Linked DNA regions of Macaca mulatta. The protein of the gene in region 2 interacts with the protein of the main gene of each other region in a pairwise test. Links are inferred from orthologs where the notes say so. Each region holds a gene or a part of one and is shown on either strand. Other genes may lie near its edges.

Region 1 (4,098 bases), on a different chromosome or scaffold from region 2:
ACTGCGCCCGGCCTCTAAGACCATTTTCCAAATCCTTCCTGGGGATCTCCGTGTGCTAGAGGGACCCCAAGTGAGGGTGACCTTATGTCCCAGTTTGCCCAAAATAGTCCTGGTTTATGGCCCAGGTTAATTCTCATAGTGCCCCTTTCACTCTCAGAAACATCCTGATTTAGATGATAAATTATTTCATGACTACCTCAAACCAACATCAAACTGAACACATACGCACATGCGCCTCACTGTTCTTGGCAGTTAAGGGGACAGTGTCCATATGGTCCCTAAGCGGAGAAACCCCAGGCTTATCTTTGACTCTTCTTTGTGAGACCTATGATGCTACAATTACCTCCTGAATACATCCTCTCCTTTCTGTTCCCACTGCTCATGATCTATTTCAGACACAAATAATTACAACCTACGGTGGGGTCTCCCTGGCTTGAGTCTCTCCCTTCTCCACAGTTCTGCCAGTGATCTTTTCAAAACACAGATTAATGCCTCCTGACTCCCCATGACCTATAGATTGAAATCCAAATCCCTTCATGATTCCTCCTGCTTCATCTCCTGTCCCCACTTTCCTACCCTAGGCTCTGGGAGACTGCTTGTCCCCTGAAAAGCCCACATTCCTACTCATTTCAGTATACTTGTTCCCTTCACTCCCTCCTCCGAGTCTGACCCTTTCTTCTCTTTTCTGCTGCTCTTATTTGACTTTCAGCTCATTCCTGGGACTGATCTCAAGTGTCATCTCCTAGAAGGCCTTTTCTGATTTAGCTTTCCCGTCAAAAATAATCACTCCCCCTCCACTAAACCCTAAGAGGGCTTGGCTTTTAACATTTACTACAATTTGGACTCCCGGCATGTCGGCCATTGCACATTCTGCTTATGTAACCATCTCTCCTGCCTATGCAATAAACTGCTAAGGCCAAGAATGGCATCTCTCGCAGTGCCTGAAACAGTGCCTGCTTCATGGAGGAGTTCATTGTTAACAAGTCTGAATCGAACAAAATTGATAATCCACCTCAAATTTTCCACACCAGGTTGCCCGGCACATCAGCCACTCATTCCTGGGGACACTGGGGACAGACTCAGAGGGCACTGTGACATCAGTTCCACCACAATATCTTGTGGAAGGGATATCTGCTAAGAAGAATTCAGATGTAATTGGCTGCATGCCTCCTTCAGGAGGAAGAGCAAGCATTCCCTCCCCCATCCTCTCCTCCTAAGGGCCCACCGCCCACTCAGGGTCAGACTTCATTCCCCCTCTTCTTTAGGTATCCTCCCCTTACTCTCAGTTTCTCATTTCACAAAGGATCTTGCTGCCTCCAAGCTCCTGACTCATAATTTAGGACAACTAATCTGGTGTTTCATTAGGTGTCATCTTTTGAACTGAGCTTACATCTGCGTCTGGCTTAATAGATAGCTTTTTTAGGCTGGGAGAAGACAGGGAAGAGGCAGATGTGAATCCCAGGCTTGGCCCCTGTCCAGCAGGATGATCTGACTACACCCCTTCCTAGATGCCTTAAAACCCTTCCACTCCGCTTCATGAGGACCTGTTTGGGTCAGAGAAGCCACTCACAGGGTGAAGACACAAACCCCACATTTCAGGATGCTAACAACGGTTTGAGTGCCCAGGGCGGGCTCCCCGACCCACCCAGATCTGCTGTGTCCCGGCAGTGGACTCTTTCCTAGGGAACAGGTGGATTTGGGGGGGGGGGGCGTGCCTTAGGCCCCATACTCATAAAATCCCCTGTCTTCTCCCCTCTAAAACAGAGAAAACAGCAGCCGGTGGGTGCAGGTGGGAAGGGGTGAGGTGGAGGCTGAGAAGAGATTAGGGCTCTCTGGCACCCACCACCTCTTGCAACACGACCCTGAGGCAGTGGGGCAAGTATCCCGATTTCACGAACAAAGAAACTGAGCAACTAATAGAGGAATGGGCCACGCTCCTACTGGGAGGCGGGGCAGGTCTCCCAGCCCTGAGGACTTTTCCTCCCAAGACTTAGTTGTGAAGCCCCTTTTGCCTATCCCAGCCCTTACCCCTCGGGTCAGCCCCAAATCGGAGGCCACCATCTCTCCCACAGGAGCCTGCCCCTCCCACCCCATCCCCTCCTCCCTCCTGTCTTTCCTGCCCACCCATTTGCTCGAGCTGGGGTGGCAGGAAGGGAGGTGCACGACACGGGCATGAAGAGCAAACCCCCTCCTGCTCAGAGCTGCTGCCGCCTGAGCCCAGGGCTGCACCCAGCGCAGGCCTCGTGGCCAGGCCATGGACCCCACAGAGCCCTGGAGTCCCAGCCCGGGGTCAGGGGCCTGGGACTACTCGGGATTGGACGACCTGGAGGAGCTGGAGCTGTGTCCGGCCGGGGACCTGCCCTACGGCTATGTCTACATACCTGCACTCTACCTGGCGGCCTTCGCCATGGGCCTGCTGGGCAACGCCTTCGTGGTGTGGCTGCTGGCCAGGCGGCGCGGCCCACGGCGGCTAGTGGACACCTTCGTGCTGCACTTGGCGGCCGCTGACCTGGGCTTAGTGCTCACACTGCCGCTGTGGGCCGCGGCGGCGGCGCTAGACGGCCGCTGGCCGTTCGGCGAGGGCCTCTGCAAGCTCAGCAGCTTCGCGCTGGCGGGCACGCGCTGCGCGGGCGCACTGCTGCTGGCTGGCATGAGCATGGACCGCTACCTGGCCGTGGTGAAGCTGCTCGAGGCGCGGCCCTTGCGCACCCCGCGCTGCGCGCTGGCCTCGTGCTGCGGCGTCTGGGCCGTGGCGCTGCTGGCTGGCCTGCCCTCCCTGGTCTACCGGGGGCTGCAACCCCTGCCTGGGGGCCACGGCAGCCAGTGCGGGGAGGAGCCCTCCCACACCTTCCAGGGCCTCAGCTTGCTGCTGCTGCTGCTGACCTTCGTGTTGCCCCTGGTCGTCACCCTCTTCTGCTACTGCCGCATCTCGCGCCGCCTGCGCCGGCCGCCGCACGTGGGTCGGGTCCGGAGGAACTCGCTGCGCATCATCTTCGCCATCGAGAGCACGTTCGTGGGCTCCTGGCTGCCCTTCAGCGCCCTGCGGGCCGTCTTCCACCTGGCGCGTCTGGGGGCCCTGCCGCTGCCGTGCCCCCTGCTGCTGGCGCTGCGCTGGGGCCTCACCATCGCCACCTGCCTGGCCTTCGTCAACAGCTGCGCCAACCCGCTCATCTACCTCCTGCTGGACCGCTCATTCCGAGCCCGGGCGCTGGACGCGGCCTGCGGGCGCACCGGCCGCCTGGCGCGAAGGATCAGCTCGGCCTCCTCGCTCTCCAGGGACGACAGTTCCGTGTTCCGTTGCCGGGCCCAGGCCGCGAACACTGCCTCGGCCCCCTGGTAGCTGCCCCGGGCCGCTGGAGGTGGGCGACAGCGGAGCACCGAGAGGAGGGGAGAAGTCCCGGGAGGGGACCCAGATGCGCCTGTTCTGGCGGCAGCAAGCTGCTCCGGCCGGCATCGCATTGCCTCGCGCGCTGCCTGGACTCCCAGGGTCTCCTCCATCAGCTTCCCCGGAACCTCAGAGCAATTGAACTCCCCTAAACCAGGCTCCTGAGACTAGCTGTTCCCTGTCAGCCTGCAGGGTACAAGATAAGTGCTATGAGATGGAGCAGACAGCAACTCGGAGACCCGCAGATTCACCAAGAAGACAGAAGGGAAGGGGATTTCCTTCTCTGCCTCATTGGGAAGAGCACTGACCAGAAATCGAACCCAGACCCCTAAATGCCATTCTGGTTTCTGGCTGTGCTTTCTCCCGTCTCCCACAATAGCTTTTGCTTTCAGAGAAATACCTTCTCCAAGTCAGGCCCTCTGCCCTTCTCACTCACAAAACCCTGGTGTTGAATCTGGTGACACTTCTCCCCCTACGAAGCGGTAGGACTCACCTGGAAGTTGTTCTGGTCTTTCCCTCTCAACAGAAGGTCCTGAAATCGCTCACCAGGCGTTTCTTAAGGTCTCCACCACTCAGCCAGGAACCTCAAAATCTTCTCTGTGAATTCATCTTTCTCAATAAACAGACACTCCTGCTAGCCCTGTCTTCACAGTCGTCTTTGCTTGCGCAGTGGGAGTGAAATGCGTATCAGGAGGCGGGTCGCACACTGGGTG
Region 2 (4,059 bases):
GCCTCCCAAAGTGCTGGGATTACGGGCATGAGCCATTGCACCTGGCTAAGTCTCAGTTTTCTTATCGGTCACATGGGGATTATGATGAACGTGATTACAACCTCACCTGTCAGTCATGAGAAATAAATGTGATAATTAACATGAAGGCAATCTGTAGACTGGATAGTGCTATAGAAATGTTTATTGTTATTTGCATTTGTAGATATAGATACTGAGGATTGCAGAGGTTAAGCGGCATGTCTGTGATCACCCAGCCAAAAGCGACAGAGCCAGGATTTGAAACCACCGGTATTTGAGGAAATGCCCAAAGGGGCCATTTCTAAGTGGGGCACAATGTGGGTCTTGAATGCTGATTACCTGAGTGGAAGAACTCAGGGTGCTCTTTGCCTTAAAGGATGGAGTTAGGGGGAGAAGGGAGCTTTAGAGAATGCTACCTTCAGGAATAAAAGAGGGTACAGGAATCTCTCCCAAATAGCGTCTCAGAGGACATCAAGTATGAGGAGGCAGTGAAGTTCTAGAGTCTTGTCTACAGCTTATTATTATTATTGTTGTTATTATTTTGAGACAAAGTCTCGCTCTGTTGCCCAGGCTGGAGTGCAGTGGTGCGATCTCAGCTCACGGCAGGCTCCGCCTCCCGGGTTCATACCATTCTCCTGCCTCAGCCGCCTGAGTAGCTGGGATTACAGGCACCTACCACCACACCTGGTTAATTTTTTTTTTCTTTTTTTGTATTTTTAGTAGAGACAGGGTTTCACTGTGTTAGTCAGGATGGTATTATTATTATTATTGAGACAAGAGTCTCGCTCTGTCACCCAGGCTGGAGTACAGTGGCTTGATCTCGACTCACTGCAACCTCTGCCTCCTGCGTTCAAGTGATTCTCCTGTCTCATCCTCTGGAGTAGCTGGGATTACAGGTGCCCGCCACCACGCCCAGCTAATTTTTGTATTTTTAGTAGAGACGGGGTTTCACCATGTTGACCAGGCTGGCCTGGAACTCCTGACCTCAAATGATCCACCCACCTCAGCCTCTGAAAGTGCTGGGATTACAGGCGTGAGCCACCACACCCAGTCTTTTTTTTTTTTTTTTTTTTTTTTGAGACGGAGTCTTGCTCTGTCGCCCAGGCTGGAGTGCAGTGGTGCAATCTCGGCTCACTGCAAGCTCCGCCTCCCGGGTTCACGCCATTCTCCTGCCTCAGCCTCCCGAGTAGCTGGGACTACAGGCGCCTGCCCCTGCGCCCGGCTAATTTTTTCTATTTTTAGTAGAGACGGGGTTTCACCATGGTCTCGATCTCCTGACCTTGTGATCCGCCCACCTCGCCCTCCCAAAGTGCTGGGATTACAGGCGTGAGCCACCACGCCCGGCCTTTTTTTTTTTTTTTTTTTTTTTGAGATGGAGTCTCACTCTGTTGCCAGGGCTGGAGTGCAATGGTGCAATCTCAGCTCACTGCAATCTCCGCCTCCTGGGTTCAAGTGATTCTCCTGCCTCAGCCTTCCAAGTAGCTGGGATTACAGGCAGTGTGTAATAGAGTCACCATGTGATGGAGGGCATCATGCTGGGGTAAATTTTGTATTTTTGTAGAGACGGGGTTTTACCATGTTCGCCAGGCTGGTCTTGAACTCCTCACCTCAGGTGATCCACCCACCTCGGCCTCCCAGAGTGCTGGGATTACAGGCATGAGCAACTGCACCCAGCGAGTTATTATTATTATTGTTACTATGTTTTGAGAAGGAGTCCCACTCTGTTGCCCAGGCTGGAATGCAGTAGTGCGAACTCCGCTCACTACACCTCCTCCACCCGGGTTCAAGCAGTTCTCATGCCTCAGTCTCTTAAGTAGCCGGGATTACAGGAGCGCACCACCACACCTGGATAATTTTTCTTTTATTTATTTTTTTTTTTGAGATGGGGTTTCACTCTTGTCACCCAGGCTAGAGTGCAATGGCACGATCTTGGCTGGCTCATGGCAACCTCCGCCTCCTGGGTTCAAGCAATTCTCCTGCCTTAGCCTCCCAAGTAGCTGGGATTACAGGCACCCGCCCCCGTGCCCAGCTAGTTTTTGTATTTTCTTAGTAGAGATGGGGTTTCACCATGTATTGGCCAGGCTGGTCTTGAACTCCTGACCTCAGGTGATCACCTGCCTCGGCCTCCCAATGTGCTGGGATTACAAGTGTGAGCCACCATGCCCAGCCCCATAGTCATTGTTGAATTACCCCTGTCTCCTCTAAGTCAGCAGTTTGCAAACCTGAGTGTGCATCAGAATCACCTGGAAGGCTGGGCCCTACCCACAGGGTTGTGATTCAGCAGGTTTGGTGGAACCCGAGAATCTGCATTTCTAACAGATTCCCAGGTGATGCTGCTGGTCTGGGAACCACACTTTGTGAACCACTAACTTAAGTCAACAAAAATAACCCTTTTGAGAAGTGCTGCTCTGGCTTTGAATTGAGGGAGAACAGAAAGGCAGGGAGCAGCACCTCCTGAGGGGTTTGTGGTGGCTCCTCTTGGAGCCTCTGGGAGTCTCAGGCTGCAGGCATACTCTCTTGTCACCCCAGAGCTTCCTCCCTCCTGGGCCTTCTGGGCCTGTGCTGTCTCCAGGTTCTTCCACCTCTTACCTTGGGTGGTGTCCTCCATCTTGATGGGCACGAGGGGGCTCTGGGGCGCTGAGTCGCCGCTCAGGGAGTAGCTGTGCTCCGCCTGGATGCCTGGCGTAGGGGAGTCCAGTTCCATGTCCAATAGAGGGCTCTTCTCATCCAGCACAGGGTCATCAAAGAAACTGCTGAACAGGTCGTTGGAGAAGTCCTCCATGTTCTCCGTGAAGTGGTCCAGGTGCTCAGGAAAGTGCTAGGGAAGGAGAAGGTGAGGGGAAGAGGGAATTCAGCTTTGCTTGGGGAGGGGGTGCAGGTGCTACTGTGGTGGTGCGGCACCCACCACGGCCACCGTTGTCACTGCGACCTCCCATTACTGTGCCCATTCCCATTAATACCAGCAACATCACCAACCTCCCCACTACCAACATCATAACACCAACTCTCATCATTTCCATCACGACCATTACCACTGTCATCCCATTCTCTCTACCACCAGCTCCACCCTCACCATCGTTATCTGCAAGGGTGAGCTGTGGATGGGGTCAAAAAGTCCCAGGACCTGGCAACAGGACACTGGGCTCTGTGACCTTGGTCAAATGACTTAAACTGCGTGAGTCAGTTTCTCAGTCCTTCTTACTTCCTTCATAGGCTGATGTGAGGACAAAGTAAGAGAATAACCGTGTGTCTACGCCAACAAGTTTCTTTTCCAAAGGCAATATTAGTGAATTTTGTGTGCTCTTTTGCTGGAATGTGGGAAGAGAGTGATGCAGGGTGGTGGCATTCTTGAAGCCTCCAGTCCCCTCAGCAGCACAGTCCCCATCTGTCCTCGAGACTTCAGGGGCTCTGTCCTTTCCCAAGCCATCCTTTATACAGAGAGGTTAGGCTCTGGAGCCCTACTACTTAGGTTCGAATGGTGGCCTCCATCCTTCCAGCTATGACTCAGTGCTGTTTAAACTGTGGGTGGTGACTCATTAATGGGTTGTGAAATCAATTTAGTGGGTCACGACCAGAATTTTAAGTAAAAATAAAACAGAAAAAAAAAAAGGGTAGAAAATATCAGAGTGCACAGCACACAGTGGAGTTAAATACCTGGTAATTTAAAAACAAATCAGTTATGTGTGTGTGCGTGCTCGCACATGTGTGTACTTGGTAATGATGTAACATATATTTCTTAGAAACAAAAAAGTCAGGCCGGGCGCAGTGGCTCACGCCTGTAATCCCAGCACTTTGGGAGGCCGAGTGGGGGTGGATCGCCTGAGGTCGGGAGTTCGAGACCAGCCTGACCAACATGGAGAAACCCCATCTCTACTAAAAATACAAAATTAGCTGGGCCTGGTGGCACATGCGTATAATCCCAGCTACTAAGGAGGCTGAAGCAGGAGAATTGCTTGAACCTGGGAGGCGGAGGTTGTGGTGAGCCGAGATTGTGCCATTGCACTCCAGCCTGGGCAGCAAGAGTGAAACTCCGCCTCAAAA
Region 3 (4,224 bases), on a different chromosome or scaffold from region 2:
AGTGATGGAAATGTCCTCCACCTGTGCTGTCCAATATGGTAGCCACGAGCCAGAAGTGGCTATTGAGCCTTTGAAATGTGGCTAGTGAGACTGAGGAGCTGAATTCTTCATTTTATTTCATTTTAATGAATTTAAATGTAATCGCCACATGTGGCTGGTGACTACTGAACTGCTGTGTTAATTCAGCACTAATTCTAGAGCTGTGGTTCTAGACTCAACAAGGTAAAGCAAGAACCCACACGCTACCACGCGCTAAGCTGGACCATCCAACACACAGCGCTGGCAGTAATACTGTGGGCAATCTGGCACTGGGTGAGGCCTTTAAGTACAGTGCGTGCTTCAGAGTTGGTAGCCGCTGGCAAATCTGGCAAGTTTGCCCAAAGCGTCGCTCTGTTCTAGCCCCTTGTCCAAACCAGACACTGTTTCCCTCAGCTTCAGCAAAAGCGGATGCTAACCAGGTGTGAGCAGCAACGGGAGAGAGCACTCGTACAATATGGAGCTGAGATTTGAGTCAGCACAAATGTGACATGGAACAAAGTCATTTAAGAGAGCCATAAACAGCCTACTTCAGTCATAAGAGCCAATAATACACTCAGATCTCCTAATCTAGGGTGCTGGGCCATCAGCTAATCCGCCCTGCCCCACCTGAACAGTCATCACCAACTGAGCAGGAATGGAGGGATGCCCAGAAGTCAGCTCGCTAGCCACACAGCGGGTTATGTTTCCATCCCCTGCTCAGCATGGAAAGAGCTTAGGGAAGCTGGGCTCGGGCAAATGACTTTTCCTACAGAACCTGGCTAGGGGTTTACAGCAAAAGCAAACAGAGAGGTAGTCTCCACCCACACCACATTATCTAGGAGAGTTGATGGTGACATCCAAACCACAAAACCAAATGCCACATTCCTGCTGACACACAACATCTGCGTGTATGAGTGGAGCCTTCAGTTCCAGGCCAAAGGTGCAACCTGAGACCAAGCAGGTAAATGCATTGAGTCAAGCTGTCAGGTGATTGAGTCAAGCTGTCAGGTGAGGAACCAAGAACTGGAGAGCACTGTCCTAACCAAAAAGAGTCAGCCACTACCCAGCTTTTCAGGGAGCGTTTTATGTGAAATCTGTTGGCAACTAATTTAAATTCTCTTAAAAACTGTTGAGGTTCAACAGTCAAGCACTGGCTCCAGCTGATGCACTGCTGATTTGCCAACTCCATTTTGAATAAATACTTGTCTCAAGCCAAAGCAAAAACAATTCTCAGGATCTATTTTCTTAGATCAATAAAAGCTTAACCTGTGCTGGCAAGGCTCCTGTTCCCTGCCTGAGGCATCCCTATAAGGCTCTCTTCAGTTGCTTTTAGTCCAACAAGAGGGCGAACGTTTCTAAAACTTTGTTTTCTAAACAGGTTATTTCCTATTACTGTTTGCATTGAATATCTTGAAAATGTTTGCTAGTTTTTAAGGGCATCTGAAAACCACTGAGGTAACTTATTTAAATGGTCCAATCTAAGAAATACCAGGCGGGAGTTAAAAAAACAAAAGTGTGTTTACCACTGCTTTTCCAAGGAAGAGGAAATGCAGAATGGGCGACGTTGGCTAACTGGGCTCAAGAATAAAGTGCAAGCAAGCTAACGGACTCTATCACAACTGCCAAACAGGAAGAATCTTCCCAGCTGGGAAAGCCATCTGCAAGCAATAGCAATGAACACGGGATGGAATCAGTCATAGAAAAGGAATAATGCAGAGTAGTTGACAGGCAGAGAAATTTTCTGGTTAGACAATCTTCACCAAAGAGACGGGGAAAAAAACAACAACAGCAAAACCAAAACTTTCCTTTTTTGCTGACCGCTGCTGTTAACAATCAAGCTTTAGCGGATAGTTCATCCAGGTGGCTCCACCAATATACATCCTCTCCCAAAACTTCTAGCGGCTGAACAGCTTCTAGTGGCTTCCACTAGCTGAAACTGCTTCCCAGAAGCAAAAACTGCAACTTGAACATGTAACACGGAAACTACTCCAATCTCATCTTCTAGAAATCAGTTACTCAAATGGAGGTCTCTGTTGGAAGAAACACGCTCCTAGCTCCCTACCCACACACCATTCATTAGGAAAGGTCACTTTAATTGACTTCCACGGCAGGAGCGCTTGCACAGAACCATCCAAAAGTCTCCAGAATCGCCCCTCGAGGAAGTGGACGGCTCCGGGCCCGGAAGAGACACATGTGGTGGGAGCTAAAGCTCCCTGGTAAACGTGCAGATCAAACTACCCCTGCCGCAGCCGGCCTGCTCTGTGAAGGCTTCACCTTCTTTCTCTCTCCAGGGGCCCTGCCTTCCTCGCCACGTCGGGGGCCGCGGGCGAGATGGCCACGCGCGCGGCCAAGCGGGAAGGGTGCCGATCAGCCCGCGGCTAGGCGGGTCCCTGAGGCCTGCGCTGGGCGCCAGTTCCTCTCCGCACGGCCCGGCCTCGAGCCCCACCCCGCATGACCGCTGCCCACCTTACCCAGCCCGGCTAACGCCCCTTCCCCTAAGCTCTCCGCCGAAGCCTTCGACCTCGCTCCTACCCGGATCCCGGATCCTCCGGAACTGGAACCCCGTATGCCAGGCGGGGGTCGGGGGAGCCCGGGGATACCAGGGCAGGAAGGCTGCTGCAGCCCCCGGAGGCCGCGCTGGGCTCTCCGGCCCCTGAGCCGCCTGCACCGTGGGCAACAAGCCCTTGGATCTCACCTCTCTCGGGCGCTGCCGCCACTGCTGCCCGGGCCAAGACGCCTCCTTCCCCAAGCGGCCATCTTGGAGACACTCCGCTTGCCAACGTCTCGCGCCAAGGCGGCATCGGGAGAGCAGGCGGGCCGACGGGAAGTGTAGTCCGGCCCGCTGTCCCGGGACGCTCGGCAGGCGGAAGCCGGGCCTGGCGGAACTACCGCGCCCACAAGGCAGCGCGCCAGAAGCCCCGCCCCCGGGGTCGCCGGGGCCCGTAGTCCTTCTGCGAGGGCGCGAGGACCCCCAGGAGCAGTCCTGGGTTCAGACATTTTTGAAGAAACTGAGTTCCCGGCGTTCGCAGCCTGGGAGTCACAGGCGCCCACCCACCGGTAGGTCCTTGGGTTTCGAGAGCCAGCCAGCTGAAGGAGAGAGAAGAGGAAAGTGCCTACAACTCCCAGAGCACCGCGCGTAGGCGCCCGGCGCCGCCGTCCCGGCCCGCCAGGCCGCGTCTCCTGCCGGGGACCGCCGCGCTGTTTGCGGGCCTCTAGCGCCCGGCCCCTCCGCGTCGCCCCGCCTGCTCTTCACAGCCTTGGCCCATAAGGTCACCGAGGGGCGGGAGACGCCGCCCGGGTCCTCCTCGGAGTCAGGCGCTGCTCCCGCACCATCCCCCGCCCAATTCAGACTCCGGGGTACTTTGGGGAGGCCGAGACAGACACGCTGTCCCGGCTGCCACGGAGGTCCCTGCTTGCAGGTGCAGGCTGTTAGAGGAGAGGGTCTGAACGCAAGGAAGGGGAATAGCTGTATGATAACTGCTTGAAGGAGAGAGGGCCCTGCGACAGCGACAGCCCTGTTTCAGACAGGGCCTCCAGGCCTCAGACTCAGTCCCTGCCACGCACCCACTCTTGTCCTGTCCGCTGCGACGGCATAATCTCGGGATCTTTTTTTTTTTTTTTTTTTTTTTTTTGAGACGGAGTCTTGCTCTGTGCCCCAGGCTGGAGTGCAGTGGCCCGATCTCGGCTCACTGCAAGCTCCGCCCCCCCGGGTTCACGCCATTCTCCTGCCTCAGCCTCCCGAGTAGCTGGGACTACAGGCGCCCGCCACCTCGCCCGGCTAATTTTCTTGTATTTTTAGTAGAGACGGGGTTTCACCGTGTTAGCCAGGATGGTCTCGATCTCCTGACCTCGTGATCCGCCCGTCTCGGCCTCCCAAAGTGCTGGGATTACAGGCTTGAGCCACCGCGCCCGGCCAATCTCGGGATCTTTGAAAGCAGATGCGGGGCTAAACCATCCCACCTGACGGGAACCCTGCCCCAGGACCTGACATCTCCTTGTCTGGACACTGCTGTAACGAGTCAGTCAGGAAGGACTAACTGGAACCCAGAGATTCCCAGGTGCTGCTGCCTCAGACCTGTGGACTCTTTGGGGGATCTCTTACAGTTTGTAAACTTCTCAGTTCCTCTACTGCTCCCACACACAACGTTGCTAAACATATTAGTTGGCCCCATAAATACTTGAGCAAAACAAATGCAAAAATCTGCC
Region 4 (4,221 bases), on a different chromosome or scaffold from region 2:
CACCTCAGGTCAGGAGTTCAAGACCAGCCTGGCCAACATGGTGAAACCCCATCTCTACTAAAAATACAAAAATTAGCCGGGCGTGGTGGCAGGTGCCTGTAATCCCAGCTGCTGGGAGGTTGAGGGAGGAGAAAATCACTTGAACCCAGGAGGCAGAAGTCGCAGTGAGCCGGAATTGTGCCATTGCACTCTAGCCTGGGAGACAAGAGCGAAACTCCGTCTCAAAAAAAAAAGAAAGAAAGGAAGGAGGGAGGGAGGGAGGGAGGGAGAGAGGAAGGAAGGAAGGAAGGAAGGAAGGAAGGAAGGAAGGAAGGAAGGAAGGAAGGAAGGAAGGAAAAGAAACCCAGAAGAAAAAGATGAATGATGAATGGAACCAAGCCTGGGTTATCCTTGTCTTTAGGCCAACACAGTCAAAAATAGATTATATATGTTTGTCTTTTAATAGAGGAAGAGGCTTACAAAGGCAACAATGCCAGGTCCTAGGAAAGCCATAGTACAGCCTGGCTGGAAGGAGGCTCCCAGCCTCTGTGTCTGGGTAGAAGTAGCCACTGTTCTCCTTGGCCCCTGCAGGATCAGTTTGGCCCAATGTGGCTGGTGCAGGCTGAGGGGTGTTGCCAGTCTGAGTTGGCCGGAGGGAGCTGGGACAGCCTTGGGCTGCAGCAAGACAGCCACAGTGCCAAGGGCCTGGGGCTTGACACGCCCTGCATGGGAGTGGACCTGGGCAGCTGGAGGCCACCTCTGGACTGTGATGATGGCAGCCTCTCCCCTCACTGAGCGCCGAGCATCTGAGGGGTGTCCTGCCTGCATCACCGCCTTGTGGCTTCATCAGTCCCACGAGTTTGTGCCCATTTTACAGATGAGGAGATGGAGACCCAGATAACCAGTCAGAAAGTGGTCGGGCCAGGACTAAGAGTGCAGCGCGCAGTCTCCGTGCCCTGGATCAACAGCTCAAGGAACTGGGGTGCTCCGGAAATGGGGCCAAGGCTGCTGAGCAGGAGGACGCTCAGGGCCTTGCCCTCAGGAAAGGCAATCCCCCACTCGGAGATCGGTCTTGTTGCCGCATTTTATAGATGGGAAAATGAGACTAGAAGAAACCACAAGCGACCCGCCGGCGGACACACGGCAACGTTTTAGGTGCTGGGTCTGGCCGGGCGGCCATCACCGGTCACCGTGGGGAGGAGAAGGAGCCGAGAGACTCGCTCGCGGCCGGGGGGAGGCAGAAGCGCGTCCCGCGGGAGAGGTGGGTTTGAGGAGTGAGCTCCCGGTCCCGCGGGGATGCCAGTGGGTCCAGGGCCCGGGCTGCCAGGCGGGGCGGGGCGGAGCGGGGCGGGGCTCGGCCGGGTAGTGGGGCGGGGCCGGGCGGTGGATTGACGGGCGGGGCCTGGTGGCGGGGCGGGGCCGGGCGGCTGAGAGGGGCGGGGCGGATGCGGGCACAGCGGTCTGGCTAACTCCTGCCAGGCAGTGCCCTTCCCGGAGCGTGCCCTCGCCGCTGGTGAGTGAGAACGGGACGCGGAGGGGGCAGCGGGAAATGGGGGCCCGCACGGCTGCGACTCTGACAGCGCCGCGGGACAGAGGGAAACTGAGGCCGGAGCCGAGGACTGGACACCCGAGGGGGCGGCCCGGGGCAGCACTTGGGGCTCGGCTATCGGGTCAGGGGCGGAGGCGGCGGGCAGCCAGGTCTGGACCTCCGCGGCCGGGGTTCCTGCGCGGGCCGCCTCCGACTGGGGGTTCGGGAGGGGAAACTTGGGCAACTCCGCCACGCCCTGCCCCTGCTTCTCCTGCAGGAAGCGCGGTCGCAGGAGAGGCCGATGCTCCCTCTCCCGCCCATTCCGCGGATGGGCAATCCCAGGCGGAGCTCCCTTCAGGGTCTCAGAATGTCTGGGAGACCTCAGGCAGGATCCTGATCCCCCAAGACACCCCGTTTCATAGTGGAGGAGAACAGCCCAGATCGGGGAAGTTTTTTTTGCCCAAAGCCGGTTAGAGGCCCCCCGGCCCTCAATTCCCAGTGCGGGGCTCAGGTGCGCTGCAGCCTAGACGGGACTTACTCTGAGCCGAGCAGCCTCTGGGACCTGTCTGCTTCCCCTGCCCCTTGCAAAGAAGACGGAGCCCAGGTGGGAGAAGCGGGGGCTTCCTGCTGTGAACACACTGCTGGCCAGGGCAGCTTCCAGAGGCCATGGCCTGGCGTGGGCCTGGAGCCCCTCTGGCCAGCCTGCCAGGGGCCGGCGCTACGGAATACCAGCAGTGTGCCCTGGGCTGGATGGCAGGAGAGACAGGACTTGAGGCTGTCCCAGAATGGACTCAGGCAGGGCGAGGATATTAGGGGAGGTGGTGTACAGGAAGCAGTCGCCCAGCTCGCCTGGCACACAGCAAGCCCTGCCCATGAAGGCCTGCTGCCAGAACGTGGGCGAGGCCCGGCGTCTCTGTGGAGTCGGTGGGGCCCGAGACAGGGCAGCGTGAGGCAGGTTTCCACTGGCGGTGAAAGGGGCTGTGTAGCAAGGGCAGGAGAGCCAGCCTCAGCCCAGCAGGGGAAGGCGGCCCCTGAGTCTCCACCTGGCTGCTGGCAGCCCCATAGGGAGGCTCCGCGGGAATCCTGGGCTCCCAGGGGAGTGCTGGAAACTGGGGGAAACTGAGGCTTACCAAAGAAGCCTTTGTCCAGAGTCATGCAGCTGGCGTGGTGGAGCCAGGGCCTGATCCCAGCCTGCCTCCTCCACTGTGCCCCGAGGGCCACTTTGTTTCCTGGGAGTGTGTCTGTGCATGTGTGCACACACATGTGCTGTGTCCTGTCGTCTGTACAGACTTATGCCTGGCGTGAGGCACCATGTCTGGCTGGATCTACCAGAAAATATTCACAGCAGGTTCTCCAGGTGGGGTGAAGGGCTTGGGCTCACAGGGAGGGAGCCTACATTTACCTTTAGCTTTTTCAGTATTTCAGTTTTGAATCTCTGTTTTGTTTTGTTTCGTTTTTCTTTCTTTCTCTTTTTTTCCTTCTTTTTTTCTTTTTTTTTTTTTGTTTGAGACAGGGTCTTACTCTGGTAGGCAGGCTGGAGTGCAGTGATGCAATCATAGCTCACTGCAGTCTCCTGCAGAACTCCCGGGCTCAAGCGATCCTCCCACCTCAGCCTCCCAAAGTGCTGGGATTACAGGTGTGAGCCACCGTTTCTGGCTTATTTGTGTTTACTTTTGATTGGGCAAACAATGCGTGGATATGCTCTCTTTGTGTAAAACAGTAGTCTTTTTTATTTTATTTTCTTTTTAACCACTGGACCACTAGGGAAGTCATTCTTAATTTCTTCTTTACTTTTATTTATATGTATTTTTGGAGTCGGTGTCTCTCGCTCCATTGCCCAGGCTGGAGTGCAGTGGCTCGAGCTGGGCTCACTGCAACCTCTGCCTCCTGAGTTGAAGTGATTCTCCTGCCTCAGCCTGGCTAATATTTGTACTTTTAGTAGAGACGGGGTTTCACCATGTCGGCCAGGCTGTTTCTTTATCTTTCACTAAAAAAAAAGTTTAACCCCCGAACCTTGAAGGAAAGGAAATGAGTCTTTCTTAACAGAACCAATTCCCCCTGGACACCCACCCTCACCCTACCCTTTGCCAGGCCACTCGATGGCCAGGTTGGCTGTGGATTTTTCCAGACGTGTGGGCTGTTCCACTGGTTACTTTCGTAATGAAAAACGCACACAAAGTCAGGACGATTAGCCATGAGTCATTTTTTAAAAGCCTGAAAACAAGTCTCTGGGACAATGGTGGCTTCATTGGAGAGACAAGGCTCAGGGGAGCTGGGTGCAGCTGGGGGTGGTGGTGGGGATCAGAGAAGGGACACATTCCTTATTCTGTTCCTGGATCGCCTTCTTTTTTTAGTTAGTTAAGTTGTGCTTTTTGTTTGTTCAGTTTTTTTCTTTTTTTTTTTTGAGAGGGAGTCTCGCTCTGTTGCCCAGGTTGGAGTGCAGGGGCGTAATCTCGGTTCACTGCAACCTCCACCTCTTGGGTTCAGTTGATTCTCCTGCCTTAGCCTTCTGAATAGCTGGGACTACAGGCGCCCGCCACCACACCTGGCTAATTTTTGTATTTTTAGCAGAGACAGGATTTCACCATGTTAGCCAGGCTGGTCTCGAACTCCTGACCTGAGGTGATCTGCCTGCCTCAGCCTCCCAAAGTGCTGAGATTACAGGTGTGAGCCACTGTGCCTGGCCTTCTGGGTCACCTATAGAGAGGTCTCCA
Region 5 (4,247 bases), about 53 Mb from region 2:
GGCAAAACCCCATCTCTACTAAAAACTACAAAAATTAGCCGGGCGCGGTAGCAGGCGCCTGTAATCCCAGCTACTCGGGAGGCTGAGGCAGGAGAATCGCTTGAACCCTGGAGGCGGAGGATGCGGTGAGCCGAGATCGTATCTATTTTCACAGGTTTGTTTTTTGTTGTTGTTGTTGTTGTTTTAGACGGAGTTTCGCTCTTGTCGCCCAGGCTTGAGTGCAGTGGCGCGATCTCGGCTCCCTGCAACCTCCGCCTCCCGGGTTCAGGTTCAAGCGATTCTCCTGCCTCACCCTCCCAAGTAGCTGGGATTACAGGCGCCCGCCACCGCGCCCGGCTAATTTTTGTATTTTCAGTAGAGACGGGGTTTCGCCATGTTGGCCAGGCTGGTGTCAAACCCCTGACCCTAGGTGATCCGCCCGCCTCGGCCTCCTAAAGTGCTGGGATTACAGGCGTGAGCCACCCGGCCCTCACAGGGGTTTTATGAGGATTAAATAAATGAGATAACATAAAAAGTAAGAGTGCCTGGGACATACTGCGTGCTCAGAATGTGTTATTGCTAAGGATTTAAGTGGAAAAGTGCGATGTTAGCTGTGACTAGCTTAGAGGTCCTCCACCCGCTGCAGATGCTCTGACTACCCCCGTGCCCTTGCAGGAGAGATGCTTGGTCTCTTCACCCTCCTTTCCCGTTGGGGTAGATGGTCTTTGCAAAGGGAGCCAGGGGTCCCCCTCAAGTTCTTTTATGGGTCAGTCATGGTCAGGGTAGGGAGGGAACTCTGGCAGTTGGTTTTTGGGGATCAGTCCTCTCATTGTGGAGAGACCTAAGGCTGGTGGCCGGAGATCCTCTTTCTGCGCTGTACACAGGACAGGGCGCCCTCTCCTGAACAAAGGCGGGAACAGCACTAGGCCAGACTTTCTGGGATGTGCCTTACCGGCTCTCATTGCCTGCAAAGGTGCTATGACCATTGCTGAAATGTCCCCAACCATCCTGGCGAGCAAAGTTTGGGGGAGGGGCGCTAAGGCTGGGAGGAAACTGGCTTAATGTTTCAGAAGGGCGAGGCTGGATTATTCGGTTAGAATGGAGGTGCGGGGCAGGAGAGACGGGCGGATGAGAAAGAAATCCGGCCCCTGTTGAATTAATTTTGTGTTCTTTCAACAGGTGATGGAACGCAGCTGAGCGGTAAGGCGACAAGGTGGCTTATCTAACATGCTAAACTCAGGTATCCAGAGCTCTTACGGCTGCCCGCACGCAGCCGAAATTAATGGGGGCAGTCCCGGGCTATAAAGCATAGTTTGAGGATACACCAGATTGAGGGGCAGAGCCACGGGTCGGGGTCTCCAGAAGCGGGGAGGAGCCACCGGAGGATCTAGGCGCAGTTTCCTCTCTAAGTTCCGCCCCGAGAGCGCCGGCCCCGCCCCCGCCGTTCGCGCTCTGACCAGCCCGCAGAGTCAGCCCCCGACCCCGGGCCGCCCGGGCCCCAGGGTTCCGCCGGCAATCTGGCCACCACCGCGTGGGTGAGTATGGGCATGGGTGTGCTGGGCTGCCGGGCAGCCCCACTCAGGGGAGCTTGGCCGCGCGGTCCGGCCTCTGCAGGGCCGGGCCCCACGCTCTGGGAGTCCTGGTGCCTGCCCTGCTATCGCACACACTCTGTTTCCCAGGAACTGCTGCTGTCTGGACTTGCCGAGCTGGCCCCCTTCTTCTCCCTCCCCAGCATGGGGCCGGGTGTGCAGGGGTTGAGCTTTCCCTTCTTTATTCCACGGGGCCTCCTGGTCAGGAGCCCTAGGTGGGGAGGATGGGGCCCCAGGGTTGGAACCCCATAGACTAGTTTTGAATGGCAGCTCTGCCATTTATTAGCCTTGGCCTTGAGTGTTTTGAACCTCCCTGAGCCTCAGTTTCCTCATCTGTAAAATGGAAATATACAGGCTGTAGCACCTACCTCATAGAATTATGGTGAGGATTAAAAGAGACAATGTGTATCAAGTACAGAGCAGGGAGCCTAGTATTCCGTAGGCACTCAGTAAATGTGGGTTCAGACTCCAGGCTGAGAACATCTCTAGGGACTTTGGAGCTGAGGTAGCTCCAAAGAAAGCGATTTTCAGCTAAGTAGTACCTGTGAGGAATGTAGAGCTGTCTGCAGACTGAACAATTGCCCTTCAGCTCCACCGTGAGGTGTGGAGTAGAATGACCAAGTTGAAGGACCTTAGAGGTAATCTAAACCCTGTGATTCCCATGTTGCCGAACTGTGGAAACAGATCTAGAGTGGTTAAGTGGCTTGCCAAAGGTCACACAGCTAAATGGGAGGCCAGGCATACCTCCAAGAATTGGAATGGACTGTCCCTTGAACCTCCTCATCAACTCCTGATTTGGGCAGTGCCTCTTCATTCCCTGAAGATCTAGTTTTCAATTTGGGAATCCTAGTGGTTCCTCAGAGATCTAGAGCTGCAAGCTTCAGGGATGGATGTTGGGAGGGAAGACTAGTGCTACTGCAACTTCAGAGTCTAGTTTTGGGCTGAGTGAGGAAGATGTTCCCCATCTAGGGCCTTAAGGGACTCAGAGTCCATTTAGGGATGATCCAGGGAATTTTTTTTTTTTTTTTTTTTTTTTTTTTCTGGGAGGGTCACCAGAGCCACTTCCAGCTCCCTGGGGAGATCCCTGATGCTCCTAAAAGGGAGATAGGAACTTGAGCAATTGGAGCAGGCTGCCTGATCAGGCCTGGCAGCTGGGGGAAAATGGGTGAGGATGTGGAGGCGTAGCCACCTGGCTCGTTCTGTAATGCTAGGATGCCAACCTAACTGAGATCAAGGTTCTTTTTGAGGGTGGGACTAAAGGGAGAGTCTTGTGGGTGGGGCCCGGAAGAGTTGGGACTTGATTTGACAAGGCCTTTGAGCCCAGAAGGGTATATTCGTTATGTGTCTGGAGCCAGCCCTAGCTTGGCAACAAGCAGCCAGCGTTCCAGGGATGGCTTCTCTCCAACTCAGCATAGGGCTTTGAGGAAGAACCTTTCTCTCTCTCTGAGTATCTTGGTTTCTCTATCTTTACAGTGGGAATAGGGCTAACTGCCTCATCTATGTAGAATTTGGTTTTTCCTTTTTTTCCTCCTGTGAACAGGCGCCTCTTCTGCCTCTCTCACTCCAGTCCTAACCTGACCTTTCTGTCTCAAGCTCAGACCCAGAGAGGAAGGGGTCAAGGAAGGCCAGAGTTGCAGTGTGTAACTCTTTGTGGGTCCCACATGTATCTGTTATGTGATCCTGAGAAGATTCCTGCCCCAACTTTCCCTTCTGTACACTGTGGGGAGCTGAGCTAGGATTGTTGGTATACACTTATTTGTTATAGTTCCTGACCTTAGCTACCCTTATCTAAGGGGGAAATCACAGTCCCCAGGAACCCTCATCTGTTCACAGGAGGGTGGTGTGGACAGCCCCCTGGGCACTGGGGAGCCTCCAGAAGCTGACCAAGCAGCTCTCTCCAGCAAACAGCAAGCCCAGGCTAGCACCAGACCTGATTCTGCAAAGCCTTTCATTCTCGGGGCACGTGAGAGAGCAGGTTGGGACAAGCAGAGGGCTCGGGGTTCTGTCCGCTTCCATGGAATCCCTGCCGCTGTGGACTGCGGTGCAGGCACACAGAGCACACAGAGCCTGGGAAGGGACTGAAGGTGCGGGAGGGCCCTGGGCCAGTGGGGAAGCAATGAGAGCTGATGAGAGGCCTTGAAGCCTGGAGGCTGGGCCTGAGGCTCAAAGGCCTGGGGGAGGAGATGGGCCATTCCATCCACTGGTAGGTTTTAGGGTTGGTTCTTGAAATAAGTAGAGACACTTAAAGCAACTTCTCTAGTCCTAGGCCTGTCAAGCTAGGCAGAGAGGAGTGAGGAGAAGCTCTCCCAATCCATTCAAGCTTTATCCTAGCACAGATTTGGTTCATTGTCTTCCCGCTGAAATTGAGGTGGAATGTTGTCTTTCAATTCTGAGTCAGTCTTCCTCATCCAGGGCAGGAGCTATCCAAGTTTAGGCAACTTCCTTCTCATACTCCCCACCCCATGGCACACAGCTAATTTTAGGACTGAGCACAAGGGCTGACTTCATCACTGAGTCCCAGCCTTGCTGCCTGGGGCCCTGACAGCATGCCACTCCATCCCCAGGTCTGACAAGATGTACCAGGTCCCACTGCCACTGGATCGGGATGGGACCCTGGTACGGCTCCGCTTCACCGTGGTGGCCCTGGTCACAGTCTGCTGTCCACTTGTCGCCTTCCTC
Region 6 (4,014 bases), on a different chromosome or scaffold from region 2:
ACACAGCTCTGCTGAGAACAGTTCCATAGTTCTCAGTCTGAACTGGAGACAGCCTTGGAGAGGTTAGAAATAGAAAACTTTTGCTGATAATCCCACCTCAAAACCTCTAGCTGGGCCTGGCGTGGTGGTTCACGCCTGTAATCCCAACATTTTGGGATGCCGAGGTGGGTGGATCACCTGAAATCAGGAGTTCAAGATCAGCCTGGTCAACACGGTGAAACCCCATCTCTACTAAAAAAAAAAAAAAATTAGCTGGGCATGGTAGCAGGCACATGTAATCCCAGCTACTTGGGAGGCTGAAGCAGGAGAATCACTTGAACCTGGGAGGCGGAGGTTGCAGTGAGCCAAGATTGCACCATTGCACTCCAGCTTGGGCGACAGAGCAAGACTCCGTCTCAAAAAATAAAAAAATGAAAAAACAAAAAACAAAAAACCTCTAGCTGCCCACTCGCCAGAAACCACTGAGAAGGCTACAGGTAAGGATGAGTAAATCAAATCAATGATCATTTAAAAGTGTTTATTTTCTAAATGGGAGTAACACAGAGGGAACTTTTGGCACCTTCTTTCCAGTCCATCACCCCCATCATGTCCTCCCAAACACAAAGCAGTGGCAGGAGAAACCACAGGACAGAGTCACAAAGTCAGTCACAGAGAGATCTGTACAATCCTGGATAGCTGGAATTCAAGAGTCTGTCCCAGCTATCCTGTCCTGGCATGGGGTTACAGCTCAGGGGCATAGGGCTCCTCAGTAGGTGAGGGTACCCGCAGCTCAGCATCATGCCTTACCACGGTGAAGAGTCCCACCACCGCCAGCAGAGCCATCACCATGACAGCAGAGCAAATGCTGAACATGTTCCGAGTACCTGTTTTTCTATCACTGTCATGGAGGACAAGGAGCCCTAGGCAAGCCAGTAAGTGCAGAGGTACCCGGAACCAGTTGAGTACACCAGCCTGCTCTGTCTCAGGGATCACCTTTCTCCGTAGGAAGCTCATGCTGGGAAAGTATAGTCCACAAGCCAACTCAATAAGTAGAAAGGCTATGAAGGACTCCACTGGACTCTCCTGGCCTGGACTGGTAGAGAAAGTCAACATGAAGAGAGAGAAGACGACGATGAGCACAGCAAGGGACAGCAGGTGCATGGGCTGAAGGTGGTACCTCTTGGAGGTGGCAATACGGTACAGGGAAGAGCCAAGCAGGCTGGCTGCCATGAAGCTGGAGAAGACAATGCCCAGAGGGGCGCCATGTGGGTCCAGCACAGGTGTCCAGAGGAAGACAAAGATGAAGATGACACTCTCAAATAGAGCTTGTATGGTGCCCAACAGCAGCACGCGGCGGTCCGAAAGGAGGCAGCGCAGGCCTCCAGCACAGGTCCTTGAGAAGGCACGCTGCCGGTCATAGTTCTCCCCCCAGTTTCGAAGGGCCAAGGCCCCTGCCAGAGCCAGGAGAGGGATGGCAGCCACAAAGGGCGCTACAGGCCCCAGCCCTATCCAGCTTGCTACAGCCTCAGCTGTCACACCTGCCACTACAGCCAGCACATGGTTCCAGAAGGCAGCTCGAGCAAAGGTAGCTGGGATCCACTCGGCAGGGAAGTCATGCCGTTCCACGTGCTCATGGATGTACCAGGCCTCGAAGGCTGAGAAGAGCAGGGCTGTAGACAGCCCACCAAGTGCTCGGCCCACTAGCAGCACAAAGTAGTCTTGAGAGAGTTTGGTTAAGCAGCATAGTGAGTAAGTGAGAGAGAAGAGCACACAAGAATTCTTGCGACCCAGCCAATCCACAAGGGAGGAGGCCACCAGGCCAAAGAGGACTGTAGAGGCAAGGCCACAGACATACAGGATGGCAATTTGACCTTCCAGGAAGTAGTAATGCTGGTAGAGTTTATAGAGGTAGGGGGCCTGGAGCCAGTCAGCTGCCAGGGCCAGGAAGTAGACTTGATAGAAGTCCAGTTGAAACCGAAGGAAGGAGGGATTGCTGCAGGCCCTTCCAGGGGGCTTAGCCCGGCACCTTGACAGTTCCAGCCCCAGGCAGGAGGCCAGGAGGCCTACAAAAGCAAGGTAGGCAGTCACCAGCATGGTGGGCCCCCGACGACCTGGGAAGAGAGGTGGGGGTCAGAGTCATATCCATCCTTCGGGCAGCACGGTCAAGGGGCCGACTGTCTTAAGCAGAAGGCAGCTCCACCCAACCCCGTCAACTCCACTCCCCAAGATCTCAGACCGGAGGGACCAGTTGGGTGGGTGGGAAGAGTGGCCCCGCCAGAGCTGTCTCCTAGGACACTGTGGGGCAGGGAGGGGTAAGAGGACAGGGGAGAGGACTGAGCACTCACCCCATCCTTGCCTGTAAAGAGGGAGTCCCTTCCAATAATCCCGGTCCCCCAAATTCTACTGCCCTTTCCCACAGCACCTCCCGCACTCGTCCTTCTATTACCTCCCATCCTCGCTGGGGAGCCCCTTTTTGCCCTCAGTGTCTCATCCTCTGTCCCGGGCATCCCTCCCACCCGCGCAGGCCTCTCGAGTTGTTTCAGGGTCATGCGTGTGCATCTCAGATGCCCACTCCTCCAGGTCACTGGCGCCCCACTGCGCCCCCTAGCCCCTGCCCAGCGATGCCACATCCGCTTGCACCTCGCCCAGACTCCGTCTCACCTGCTGTCCCGGTCTGCGGGGACACCCCGGACACGTCCGGCTCCAGGCCGCCCGGCCACCCTCCCCGCTGTGGCTGCGGCTCCAGCTCGGGTTCCAGCAGCGCTCCCGCCCCTCACAGCCTGCTTCCGGGAGCCGGGCAGGCCTCTGGCCGCCGCCATGATGGCTTCGTCACGTGACGGGGGCGCGGCGCCAAAACCCCGCCCCGTCCGCCCTCCTTCCCCTACCCGGGCGCGGAACTCCGGACACCTGGGGTGGGTCAGGAAGGGACGACCGTGGGCGGCTGCGGTTGCTCCTCCTGGCCTGGCCTTGCTCGCCGCTCTCCCGTGACACCTGCTCCTCTGGCTCTTGGATGCCTGCTGGGCCACCCCGAAATAAAGGCCAATTTTCTTTTCTTCCGTGCCTTGCTCGGGAAAGATGCCCGCAGTCCGGTAGAGCCAAGGGCTGGAGCTTCCTAAGGAACAGCACCGCCGCCCGAAGCCGAGACGGTCTCCTCAGTTTGCCTCCTCTCCCACTTCAGTGACCTCCATGCAAGAGAAGCCAGTATGGTCCAGACACCTGAGGGAGGCGGTGTGGTGTAAAGAACTTGGAGTCGGGCTGCAGACAGATTAAGGCGCAATCCCGCCCCTGTCACTTACCAGCTGTGTGGCCTTAGGCAAGCCGCATAACTTCCCAGTGTCCCAGTTTCTTTGAAGTCACAGGAGAGCAATGCCCAAATGCAGCATAGGGTTAAGAACTTCAGCCTTGGCGCTTAACTCCCTACCTTCTGCCACTCAAGCTGTTTTACCTTGGAAAAGCTATTTAACCTCTCTACAGCTTCCGTATTATCTCCTCAAGAGCCTCCAATGACTTCCCATCTCACTAAGGGTAAAAGCCGAAATCTTTATAATGGTCTACAAGACCCTCTGTCCTCTGACCTTCTGCCACTCCTCTGACTTCATCCCCTGCTACTCTCCCTCCTACTCCATCTATATTGGTTACCACCAGGGCCTTTGCACACTGTTCCCTGTACAATTCTTCTCCAAAATATCCACGTGATTCCCCCATCACCTCCTCCAGTTCTCTGTTCAAATGTCACCTGATCTTGGCTGGGCCTGGTGGCTCATACCTGTAATCCCAGCAGTTTAGGAGGCCGAGGCAGGTCGATCACTTGAGGTCAGGAGTTCAAGATCAGCCTGGCCAATATGGTGAAACCCTGTCTCTACTAAAAAAATAGAAAAATTAGCCAGGCATGGTGGTGGAAACCTGTAATCCCACCTACTCAGGAGGCTGAAGCAGGAGAATCACTTGAACCCGGGAGGCAAAGGTTGCCGTGAGCCAAGTTCACGACACTGCACTCCAGCCTGGGTGACAGAGCGAGACTCTGTCTCACAAAAA
Region 7 (4,106 bases), on a different chromosome or scaffold from region 2:
AGAAAATGAAAGAATATTAATGGGTACACCGGAGAGGCGTAGGGGTATTACAACACATAATTTCCTCCTCCGAGAGGAAGACAGCTGATTGTGTCTCAAATTGCATTAAAAGAAAGTACAAAATCTTTTAAAACTTTAAAGATTTGGGGAAATTACCTGGTTCAGTCTACTCAATCAGATTAATAAAGTACTGCATGATATTAGGTAATTTAGTCAATGCCACTCTTGAAATAACTAAATACAGAACCAATGCTTCAAATCCTGATCATCTGGTCCCAATAACAGAGATGCTTCTGGACTAAATTCAAGACAAACTTTTCTACTGTATCAAGGTCTCACAAAAATCTATCTAGCTCAGAGCTAACATAAAAATCTTTTGCTATTTGGGTCTTGTACCTTTCAGCTTTAAGAAATGGGTATAAAACTGTGAAAAACAAAAAACAAAAAACAACATAAACTCCCTCAGAAAAAATAAAGTAGCTTTGTGAGTGCCCAGGCTGTCTTATTCAGAGTATCCATGATATCTATAATTACTGGCACATGGTAGGCACTCCAATATTTTTAAGAGTATAAAAATTTTTGAAAAATGAGATGAATCATTTAAAACCTAAAATATATGGTGAAAAATATATGAGTCTTACGATACCCCCACAGGGAACATTACTTTTTGCCATTCCATAGCCTCTTAGCCTTTTGAATCTGTTTTCCAATTTCCTTTTCCTTTTTAATGTATCTTCATAAATTATGAAAGATTAGTTGGCAATGCTTAAGGCAGCAATCCATATTAAAACTTTGTAATTGTAACAAAACATCCATTAAGTTTATTTTTAAAGTCACTTTAAGCCAGTAGTATCTTATTTTTACTCCCTTTTGAAACAGAAGCCCCTTACAATGAGGATTTTGAGAAACCTGTCCTATGTCCTTCTTACAAAGTTCCCATTGGTAATTCAGATTGAGAATCGCTGGACTCAATCTCAGGTTGAGAATCGCTGGACTGAACTCCTTTTATTGGTTCCAACTCTTCCTATTTCTTCCTATGAAGAAATGCTAGTCTTTATTGAGCTGAGAAAACATTACAAGAATCTGTGAAACAAAGCTTCTAACACCTGTATAAAACTGAAAACCTTGTGACTTAATTGGTAAACAGCCAAGAAACACAAGAGACTACTAGCAGCCTCCAGAAAGAGGTACAGGTCAATGAAGTGACCAAAACCGGATGCTGATTTGCTGATTCTGCCAATTTCTTGTTAAATGGCTTTCAATAAGTGATTAACTTTTATTTTCTAAATTCAATGGAGATCTGCTGGTACTCTGTAAGTTACAAATGTAACTGCAAGTTGGCCACAAGTCCAAAGGGTCTGGGCCTCTGCTATCAGCATCGACCTTTACACTCTGGGAATTCATATTTCCATCTGTAAAACTGGGGAAGATAAAGGGACTTATTCACTGAGCTGTTGTGAGAATAAATGAGCACATGAAACCATTTGGCAGTGCCTAGTACACAGTAGGCAATCTAATATTATTTATGTCATTGTATCCATATATATGGATACATACATATATGGATACATACATATGGATACATACATATGGATACATCTATATGGATACATACATATATGGATACATCTATATGGATACATACATATATGGATGGATACATACATATATATGGATACATACATATATATGGATACATACATATATATATGGATACATACATATATATTGGATACATACATATATATGGATACATACACCTGGCTAATTTTTGTATTTTTTAGTAGAGACGGGGTTTCACCATGTTGGCCAAAAAGAAACAAAGGAAAAGTCCTATCAATTAGACAGCAGTTCTGTATTATAGGCAATAACATTTTTTCTTAAAAAAAAAAAAAAAAGGTAGAGGATGATGGAAACCGCCCCTCCCACAAGCAAAACAGCTGGAGCTCTCAATCTCAAATTGCCAGTCCGTCACTCACATACTCAGATCTAGGGCCACTAATCATCCGTGGTCCCGAGCTGTGAGAGCAGTAGCAAACAAATGGGAAGAAAAAGAAAAGACAACGAACATCAAAGGGCTGGATAGGTTGTAAAAAACCAAAAGTACCTCTAGTATAGGGGACACTAAAACTTTACAAGTGAGTCAAAACGGCCCCCTACGGAGTTGAAATGCAACACTCAACTCCGTCTCCGCCTCTCGGAGCTCTCAGCCTACACGCTGCAGGGGGCTTGAGCCACCGCCAACCCGGGGAAGACGCGACCCAGGTGCCCGCCCCAGGCCGGGGCGCCCAGAGCCAGCGCCAGGTGCAGACGCCGCCCCGTCTCCGCGGAGCCCGGGGATGCCCATGCCGGGGCGGCGGCGGAGAACCCCGGCCAGCGGCTCTTCGGGACCCCGGTCCCGCCTGCGCCCTCCCCAACAGCCGGACACGCCGTGACGACGCGGCCGGGCCCCGGGGCCCGCCCCCGGCCGGCGACCGCAGAGTGCGCGGAGGCTGAGGACGTAGGTGGGCGTCCCCCTCCCCCGCCCTCCTCCATCCCTCCCCGAACCTGAGCCCCGGCTCCGTTCGCTTCCCAGCCGTCTCACCGGCCTCCCTCCCGCCTCTCCGCCGTACGCGCCCGCCTTCCGGCCTCCCAGCACTCAGTCCTGCCGGAGGCCGACGGGAACCGCCGCCTCCAGCTCGCGACTCCGCTTCCTCTCGGACTCCTCCTGCTGCCCCTCACCCCCGCGAGTGACCAGGAGAAAGCCAGCTCGCCGCTGGGCCTCCTCCCACGCTTCCCCGCCGCGACCAATGGGCCCCCGCCGCCTGGAAGCCGCGCCCGCCCCCTGGCGGTGGAGGACCAAGTGGGCGGCCGGGCCTGCCGGAGGGAAGCGCCGGAGAGCGGAGGGAGGGGTCTGCGGTCCCGCCCGCCGCCCCCGGCCCGGCGCTGCACAATCTGAACTTGCCACGTGGGAGCTGCCGCGGCGGTAGCCCTGCGCCGGGTGGCACTACGAGAGGAAGAAAAATGTGTCACTGCTTTCTCCCCACCATTCACACGCACAAAATCTCAGCCTCAAGAGCAGAACATTTTAAATGACCCACCCATCTCAGAGATGCGCCAGCTAGGTCATCTTAGATATCTTGAGATACCTGAGATGGTCAGATCCACCAAGGACCTTGGGTTGTTTGCCGTTTGACTTCTTGAATCCTAGGAAACTGATTCTGAAAATCCTACTGTCCAGCGTCGTTAGAATTCTGATCACCTTTAATGCACCACGCAAGAAGAAAAGTAGTTCTTGCATTTTCCAAGTCACGTTTATTTTTAAAATTATGACTACACAATAGTTAGAAATGTTTTTTCTCAGGACATTTTCCCACAATTGTGTTGATAATTGGGAAGTTAATTCAAATCTTACTATACAAGACCCGAGAATGCAAAATTATTTCATAATTCAGATCCATATTCTAAAATAATGAATATTATATATTATTTGATAGAATATTGGGATCATCAGTGGTTGCAGAAATTAAATTGTATTTAACAGTAGAGTTTGACTATAGTGCGTTAATATAGAATTGATATTCTACCAAATTTTGGCTTTCCTCCAAAAATATAAAACACACTAACAATAACTATGAATTCTGGAGTTTGTATCTGTGGTCAGGGGAGAAAGCATGAAATGAATTCTCATTGTTTTCCTTGCACCAATATTATGCTATTTGTGTATTACTTAAATCAAAAAACTAAGACTCCAAAATTGAGTTTAAATATCTTGCTCAAAAATACAAGGTAGTAAATTATGAAGCTGGAATTCCAGCCTAGCTTCATGCAGCTCCAAACAAACAAAAAGGCACTTTGCTTATTATAGTACCTAAAAACCATAACACTTATTCTACACATGCCTCTCCTAGACTGCTACGTCTCACTGAAAGAATTTATGAAGCCTCTTGAGTAGGGAGTCCAAGGTGTATTTCTCAAAGAGCAATTTGCTCTGTAATCAAGCCAACCAGATTGGAAATTCCATGTGACATATTCTTATAGTACCACACCTGAAACAATTCCTGTGCGTAAAGTCTAATGTGTTAGTAGCCTATTCTCCACTGACCATAAGATATAGCTTAGAACCC

What was found.
Region 1: the proteins of CREB3L1 (region 2) and GPR25 interact in binary tests that used the Homo sapiens proteins (3 or more experiments, as listed by UniProt). The two-hybrid records come from large-scale screens. The link is inferred for Macaca mulatta from reciprocal best matches to the Homo sapiens genes CREB3L1 and GPR25.
Region 3: the proteins of CREB3L1 (region 2) and TMEM11 interact in binary tests that used the Homo sapiens proteins (3 or more experiments, as listed by UniProt). The two-hybrid records come from large-scale screens. The link is inferred for Macaca mulatta from reciprocal best matches to the Homo sapiens genes CREB3L1 and TMEM11.
Region 4: the proteins of CREB3L1 (region 2) and TSPO interact in binary tests that used the Homo sapiens proteins (3 or more experiments, as listed by UniProt). The two-hybrid records come from large-scale screens. The link is inferred for Macaca mulatta from reciprocal best matches to the Homo sapiens genes CREB3L1 and TSPO.
Region 5: the proteins of CREB3L1 (region 2) and PGAP2 interact in binary tests that used the Homo sapiens proteins (3 or more experiments, as listed by UniProt). The two-hybrid records come from large-scale screens. The link is inferred for Macaca mulatta from reciprocal best matches to the Homo sapiens genes CREB3L1 and PGAP2.
Region 6: the proteins of CREB3L1 (region 2) and MFSD5 interact in binary tests that used the Homo sapiens proteins (3 or more experiments, as listed by UniProt). The two-hybrid records come from large-scale screens. The link is inferred for Macaca mulatta from reciprocal best matches to the Homo sapiens genes CREB3L1 and SLC61A1.
Region 7: the proteins of CREB3L1 (region 2) and FAM3C interact in binary tests that used the Homo sapiens proteins (3 or more experiments, as listed by UniProt). The two-hybrid records come from large-scale screens. The link is inferred for Macaca mulatta from reciprocal best matches to the Homo sapiens genes CREB3L1 and FAM3C.

Annotation. Positions count from the first base shown.
Region 1 is NC_133406.1:58,519,969-58,524,066, forward strand, and holds GPR25 (putative G-protein coupled receptor 25), read left to right. Parts: upstream 1-1,298; 5' UTR 1,299-2,254; coding exon 2,255-3,340; 3' UTR 3,341-4,022; downstream 4,023-4,098. UniProt on the Homo sapiens protein: Orphan receptor.
Region 2 is NC_133419.1:19,310,179-19,314,237, forward strand, and holds the start of CREB3L1 (cyclic AMP-responsive element-binding protein 3-like protein 1), read right to left. Parts: upstream 2,801-4,059; coding exon 2,608-2,800; intron 1-2,607.
Region 3 is NC_133421.1:22,102,750-22,106,973, forward strand, and holds the start of TMEM11 (transmembrane protein 11, mitochondrial), read right to left. Parts: upstream 2,801-4,224; 5' UTR 2,776-2,800; coding exon 2,714-2,775; intron 1-2,713. UniProt on the Homo sapiens protein: Plays a role in mitochondrial morphogenesis.
Region 4 is NC_133415.1:8,322,557-8,326,777, reverse strand, and holds the start of TSPO (translocator protein), read left to right. Parts: upstream 1-1,421; 5' UTR 1,422-1,492; intron 1,493-1,815; exon of another isoform or gene 1,816-2,111; intron 2,112-3,689; exon of another isoform or gene 3,690-4,221. UniProt on the Homo sapiens protein: Can bind protoporphyrin IX and may play a role in the transport of porphyrins and heme. Promotes the transport of cholesterol across mitochondrial membranes and may play a role in lipid metabolism, but its precise physiological role is controversial.
Region 5 is NC_133419.1:71,992,386-71,996,632, reverse strand, and holds the start of PGAP2 (acyltransferase PGAP2), read left to right. Parts: upstream 1-1,447; 5' UTR 1,448-1,514; intron 1,515-3,381; exon of another isoform or gene 3,382-3,543; intron 3,544-4,113; exon of another isoform or gene 4,114-4,132; coding exon of another isoform or gene 4,133-4,142; coding exon 4,143-4,247.
Region 6 is NC_133416.1:60,393,560-60,397,573, reverse strand, and holds MFSD5 (molybdate-anion transporter precursor), read right to left. Parts: upstream 2,733-4,014; 5' UTR 2,641-2,732; exon of another isoform or gene 2,610-2,640; coding exon of another isoform or gene 2,426-2,609; intron 2,091-2,425; coding exon of another isoform or gene 2,074-2,090; coding exon 721-2,073; 3' UTR 501-720; downstream 1-500. UniProt on the Homo sapiens protein: Mediates high-affinity intracellular uptake of the rare oligo-element molybdenum.
Region 7 is NC_133408.1:161,164,065-161,168,170, forward strand, and holds the start of FAM3C (protein FAM3C), read right to left. Parts: upstream 2,801-4,106; 5' UTR 2,585-2,800; exon of another isoform or gene 2,548-2,584; intron 1-2,547. UniProt on the Homo sapiens protein: May be involved in retinal laminar formation. Promotes epithelial to mesenchymal transition.